2 linked regions of the Xenopus tropicalis genome follow. The protein of the gene in region 2 purifies or fractionates together with the protein of the main gene of each other region. This does not show direct contact. Links are inferred from orthologs where the notes say so. Each region holds a gene or a part of one and is shown on either strand. Other genes may lie near its edges.

Evidence for each region.
Region 1: the proteins of rnf114 (region 2) and protein mono-ADP-ribosyltransferase PARP12 purify together in Homo sapiens (affinity purification with mass spectrometry; 3 studies listed by BioGRID and IntAct, counting the BioPlex papers as one, with this or other methods). This does not show direct contact. The link is inferred for Xenopus tropicalis from reciprocal best matches to the Homo sapiens genes RNF114 and PARP12.

What each region holds. Positions count from the first base shown.
Region 1 is NC_030679.2:8,065,921-8,070,004, forward strand, and holds the start of protein mono-ADP-ribosyltransferase PARP12, read right to left. Parts: upstream 2,824-4,084; 5' UTR 2,751-2,823; intron 1-2,750. Other genes in the region: zinc finger CCCH-type antiviral protein 1, read left to right, coding at 3,222-3,514.
Region 2 is NC_030686.2:36,181,102-36,183,896, forward strand, and holds the end of rnf114 (E3 ubiquitin-protein ligase RNF114), read left to right. Parts: intron 1-175; coding exon 176-282; intron 283-401; coding exon 402-516; intron 517-1,240; coding exon 1,241-1,348; intron 1,349-2,112; coding exon 2,113-2,178; 3' UTR 2,179-2,290; downstream 2,291-2,795. UniProt on the Homo sapiens protein: E3 ubiquitin-protein ligase that promotes the ubiquitination of various substrates. In turn, participates in the regulation of many biological processes including cell cycle, apoptosis, osteoclastogenesis as well as innate or adaptive immunity.

The DNA.
Region 1 (4,084 bases), on a different chromosome or scaffold from region 2:
AATGGGAGGGCCGCCCTCTTCATCTGCATATTCCCCTGTGCTGCTTTTCTATAGGCAGCAAAAGCCCAGGGGGAGGAGTTACAGGGCCATGGGCTCTGTGTCAGGAAGGGAACACATCATGTGATCTATTTTTATAAATAGAGGTAGGGGCATCCCATAGGCACTGGCTGACAGCCCGGACTGGCAGTCTGTGTTTAACCCCTTTTTGGCTAAAGTAGACAAATTCCAGCTATGGGTAGAGCATGGGATACATTGGAATCCTCTTCAGCAGGATGGGCCTTCACTAAGGGGAAGTTTCTATATGGAGGGTGTTGTGCAACTACACCTCCCACTGCAACGTGTAAGCGTAAAATGCAGTAATTAAGCAAACGGACACCAGAAGCTCTTGATGAACTAATTAACAACTGGTTTATTTATGCAGACAAAGATGGTACAGGTATGGGACCTGTTATCCAGAATGCTCGGGACCTGGGGTTTTCCGAATAAGGGATCTTTCCATAATTTGGATCTCCATACCTTAAAGTGTATAATCACTACCCAAGCCCTGTGCCCCCTCTCCAGTTACTGGGATGGCTGATAATTCCCTCTGTGCCCAGTCCACTAGATGATGTTGCATTAACCCCAGACATGATATACATATGGGTGCGTTGAACTACAACTCCCAGCAGCCCCAAGATATCCTGAAAGTTATAGCTTAAGGATCAACGGCAGAACTGCCCCACATCCCAGTAGAAAGTAACAGTACAATCACATACCCTATAGAGCAGGGAGCAGGGGGTAGAACTGCCCCACATCCCAGTAGAAAGTAACGGTACAATCACATACCCTATAGAGCAGGGAGCAGGGGGTAGAACTGCCCCACATCCCAGTAGAAAGTAATGGTACAGTCACATACCCTATAGAGCAGGGAGCAGGGGGTAGAACTGCCCCACATCCCAGTAGAAAGTAACAGTACAATCACATACCCTATAGAGCAGGGGGTAGAACTGCCCCACATCCCAGTAGAAAGTAACAGTACAATCACATACCCTATAGAGCAGGGGGTAGAACTGCCCCACATCCCAGTAGAAAGTAACAGTACAATCACATACCCTATAGAGCAGGGAGCAGGGGGTAGAACTGCCCCACATCCCAGTAGAAAGTAACAGTACAATCACATACCCTATAGAGCAGGGAGCAGGGGGTAGAACTGCCCCACATCCCAGTAGAAAGTAATGGTACAGTCACATACCCTATAGAGCAGGGAGCAGGGGCTAGAACTGCCCCACATCCCAGTAGAAAGTAACAGTACAATCACATACCCTATAGAGCAGGGGGTAGAACTGCCCCACATCCCAGTAGAAAGTAACAGTACAATCACATACCCTATAGAGCAGGGGGTAGAACTGCCCCACATCCCAGTAGAAAGTAACAGTACAATCACATACCCTATAGAGCAGGGGGTAGAACTGCCCCACATCCCAGTAGAAAGTAACAGTACAATCACATACCCTATAGAGCAGGGAGCAGGGGGTAGAACTGCCCCACATCCCAGTAGAAAGTAACAGTACAATCACATACCCTATAGAGCAGGGAGCAGGGGGTAGAACTGCCCCACATCCCAGTAGAAAGTAACAGTACAATCACATACCCTATAGAGCAGGGGGTAGAACTGCCCCACATCCCAGTAGAAAGTAACAGTACAATCACATACCCTATAGAGCAGGGAGCAGGGGGTAGAATTGCCCCACATCCCAGTAGAAAGTAACAGTACAATCACATACCCTATAGAGCAGGGAGCAGGGGCTAGAACTGCCCCACATCCCAGTAGAAAGTAACAGTACAATCACATACCCTATAGAGCAGGGGGTAGAACTGCCCCACATCCCAGTAGAAAGTAACAGTACAATCACATACCCTATAGAGCAGGGAGCAGGGGGTAGAACTGCCCCACATCCCAGTAGAAAGTAACAGTACAATCACATACCCTATAGAGCAGGGGGTAGAACTGCCCCACATCCCAGTAGAAAGTAACAGTACAATCACATACCCTATAGAGCAGGGGGTAGAACTGCCCCACATCCCAGTAGAAAGTAACAGTACAATCACATACCCTATAGAGCAGGGAGCAGGGGGTAGAACTGCCCCACATCCCAGTAGAAAGTAACAGTACAATCACATACCCTATAGAGCAGGGGGTAGAACTGCCCCACATCCCAGTAGAAAGTAACAGTACAATCACATACCCTATAGAGCAGGGGGTAGAACTGCCCCACATCCCAGTAGAAAGTAACAGTACAATCACATACCCTATAGAGCAGGGGGTAGAACTGCCCCACATCCCAGTAGAAAGTAACAGTACAATCACATACCCTATAGAGCAGGGGGTAGAACTGCCCCACATCCCAGTAGAAAGTAACAGTACAATCACATACCCTATAGAGCAGGGAGCAGGGGGTAGAACTGCCCCACATCCCAGTAGAAAGTAACAGTACAATCACATACCCTATAGAGCAGGGAGCAGGGGGTAGAACTGCCCCACATCCCAGTAGAAAGTAACAGTACAATCACATACCCTATAGAGCAGGGGGTAGAACTGCCCCACATCCCAGTAGAAAGTAACAGTACAATCACATACCCTATAGAGCAGGGAGCAGGGGGTAGAACTGCCCCACATCCCAGTAGAAAGTAACAGTACAATCACATACCCTATAGAGCAGGGGGTAGAACTGCCCCACATCCCAGTAGAAAGTAACAGTACAATCACATACCCTATAGAGCAGGGAGCAGGTTGAGCCTGAATGGAATAGAAATAGGAACCTCTGTCTATACTGTCCAATTGCATGCTGGGTATTGTAGTTTTATATCAATCCTAGCTGTAGGCTAATTATTAAATACAAACTACATTACCCAGCATGCAGTGGGATAGGCACACTAGAGGGAAACACAACTTTGGCTAGTTTCCAAAGTAAAAGGCTCCAAAATATAGCCCAAACCTGTACCTTGGCGGGTTTGTACCAATATGTGGGAGTCTCTGCATTTGAATGGTTGTTTCTTTCACGATTTATGGATGCGAACTACTCTGTGAGGGCGGATTTTGTATGGAGGGACCGGCATACTGATGACGTCGCTACTCTCTTTGCCCCGCCCCCTGTTTCAGTTTCGTTTCTCCCTCAGTCCGGGGCAGGTAGGAGGCGCTCTATACACTAAAGGCGGAACTCGCTTCCCCCGGTGCCAGAGCCATGTCCGACCCCAGAGTGAGCTCCTACCTCACCAGCCTCCTCTGCAACCATGAGGGCCGCCTCCGCCGCTCCCAGCTGGGGGACCTCCTGCAACTGCCCCCGGAGCAGATCGAGCAGATTCTCCAAGAGGAGCCGCATCGCTTCTCCGTATCGGGGGATCTGGTGTTGGCCCGGACCGCTATGCGAATCTGCCCCGACTACCTGAAACAGAAGGAAGAGGAGAAGGAGTGCGACAAGCTGCATCTTTGTCGCCTCTACCTGCAGGGCAAGTGCTGGGCTGCCCGGGGCAGGGGGTGAGTAGAACCCGGAGTAACGCGTTAGTATGAGCCACTACTACCAGGAGCAAGTGATATATGTACAGTAATAATAGCAAAGGCTTGGTACATGTAGTAAAGGTGTAGTAACCTCTCATATCTAGATATGTGCCAAAGTCAGTACTCTCAGGGAGAAAAAAAAATTGAATAGTATAGTTGTACCGACCAGTAAATGAGTAGAACTGGGGCTACTATAGGCACCATCTCCCCCTACTATACCTGCTATCCCACAGCCCCAGTCCCTTCCCAGAGGCTATTATCCCCCCACTGCTACTATAGGCACCATCTCTCCCTACTATACCTGCTATCCCACAGCCCCAGTCCCTTCCCAGAGGCTATTATCCCCCCACGGCTACTATAGGCACCATCTCTCCCTACTATACCTGCTATCCCACAGCCCCAGTCCCTTCCCAGAGGCTATTATCCCCCCACTGCTACTATAGGCACCATCTCTCCCTACTATACCTGCTATCCCACAGCCCCAGTCCCTTCCCAGAGGCTATTATCCCCCCACTGCTACTATAGGCACCATCTCTCCCTACTATACCT
Region 2 (2,795 bases):
TTTCCATACAGATACAGAGGCTGAAGAGTAATAGATGCGATTTCTGTAACCAAAAATAGCTGTGGGATTGAGGGGGATCTCTGGGTACTGAAAGTAACAGCATAGCAGAAGTACTTGTGTGTCTGGTGTGTTATTATTATTATAGGAAATGACCTAGGTTCCTTGCAACCTGCAGGTGAAACTTTCAAAAATGCGTGAACACTTCGCTGCCTGTACCAAATATGATAAATATGTCATGAATGGAATTAAGGCTGTCAAAAAGAGCCACTCCCAGGAAACTGGGTGAGTATGTTTTCCACACAGTAGTGACCAGAACATTCCTTTTCCAATACGTCCTTTTTATCCTCCATATGTAGATCTTAAGGCATTTAAATGATTGTACTTCATCTTCCTTCCCACAGTGATGTCCCAAACCGCTTCACCTTTACTTGCCCCTACTGCCAGGAACAGAACCTTGCTCAGGAAGGATTAGTGGATCACTGCAAGAGGTTTCACATGAGCGATCCAACGCCTGTGGTGAGTTGATGACGGGACTATTGTATTGCTGCTACTGGAACACTCGCGTTTGGCTCTGTCTTAAGAAAAATTGTTTATACCCAAGTATGGAATAAGATTTAGCTGTCATTTGTTTACTGTACATTATATATCGGCATAATTGTGTTTGTTTGTGGCAGTGGCTTTGACAAGCTAACCTCCAGTGTCCATATTGTCAGAGGAAGTGGCTCAGCCTTGCAAAGCAGTAACATTTCAATAAAACATCTCGGGGTACCCTTGTTTTATCCACTCAAACCATATACAATTGTATTAGTTTCTGTCCAGTTGCTAAGGTATCGCATACCCAGTAACCAGGCTTTGGTTGGAATGACATGACAGAAAGTAAATAGATGAGGGGCTAAATAGCTTGATAATAATAATCATCGTCATCATCATATAGCCTTCCCCATAACAAAAGAATAAATGAAATATTAGGTTTTTAATTAGGCAAAATTTAAAAGGCACAAAAATTGACCATATTTTTTTTTTAGGCAAATTTTATCACTCTATTTTTGTGTTGCACTGTGGGTATCAAACAACAGCTCTGCAGTTTGGTATATGTATTTGCATTCAATTTGCTCAGTTCGATGCTTTGGATATAACACATTAAGTTACCAACATATAAGTGATAATTGTCATTTGATTAACAGTAAAACTGGTGGTGCTGTAACTTAACCATGACTTAATCTTTCTCTTGTTCCATTAGGTTTGCCCAATCTGTGCCTCCATGCCATGGGGAGATCCAGGTTACAGGAGCGCCAACTTCATAGAGCACATTCATCGCAGGCATCGTTTCTCCTATGACACCTTTGTGGTATGTATCAGGCTGGGGGAACACCATTACAGTGACATGATGTTAGAGTATCATCATGTGTGTGCATAATGGATATGAAGCAATGTGTGGGGAATGGGAGTGGCCATACCCTGGACGATAAAAGCTGCAGACATAAGTCGGCCATACACGCGCGATAATATCGTACGAAACTATGTTTCATATGATATTCGGTGCATGTTGGATCGACGAGACAACTGATATTGCAAAAGCCTTAGATATCTGTCGTCTTGTCAATCGGGCGGGACAAAAGCTGCATTTAAGGGTGAATTCCTGTTGTTTTTACCTCCTGATCTGACTATTCAGCCCTCAATGTCAATAGAGGGTACAAACGATCTTAAAGAGCGAAAGATTACGAAAGATGGCAATTGTTACATGTATGGCCACCTTTAGTCATTCCAGCTTATTTGGCTTGCCCAACTGATTTTTGGCTGAATAATCAGGCTGGTTAAAAAATCCTTGCCCCAAAAGCCTGCATTCCCATGGTTGTGATCCAACTGTTTGGCTCAAGAGCCACACAATAGGACAGAAATGAGCTGATTTTTATGTGTATGGCCAGCTTTAACCCCCTCCAGTAACTCCTAGCAACTAGTTAGCTTTTGCACCTGATTATTATAACTGGCTTAGGATACACTGTAATAAACTAACTCTGCAGAGAGGCATTTGTTACACTGCTGATACATATACAGTGGTAGGTAGTGGGGGAATTAGAATCTCTTAATCCAAACCCTTCCTTTTTCCATAAGGATTACAGCGCCGATGAAGAAGCAATGATGAATGAAGCATTAGTGCGGTCTATTTCAGAGAACTGAGCCTTCTACGGATTGGATCAGAAGCAGAAATTCCTGCGTGGTTGTGCCCACCGTGGCAACTTGGCAATAGCCTTTCAACAACTTCCTCCGTGTTATTTTTCATTTCGTATATGATTATACACTTCCCTCATGTATAAAAAAAAAAAAAAACCCCAAATGAGGTGCTTCTTTTAATATAACATATGAATGTATTGGAGTGGTTGTCTGTGTATGTGGAACCCAAATTCAGTCAGGTTCATTTAATTGTTTTGCAGCTTTAAGGGTTAGGGGACATTACGCTGGCGTTTATCAGCCCTGCTGGCCATTATGTGAACTGCCCAACCATTCTCAACCTGAAAATGTGCTAGAAAGGTTGTCAGGCCAAGAGCAGTAGCACCTATGGGCAGATCTAATTAAGGTCAGTGGAAGTTGCCCAGAGCAGTTTTGGGTGCTGAACCGATATTCGCCCCATATGCCTTCAGCCTAGAATGCAGCAGTTTCAGGTTGAACCTGCAAATGGTACTTGATCAAGAGCAATGTTCATGTTTTCATGTTTTTTAGCGAGCTGAAGCATCTGTAACTCTTATGTAAATGAATAACAAATTGCACCTTTATAAAAACACGCTCATTTTTCTCCC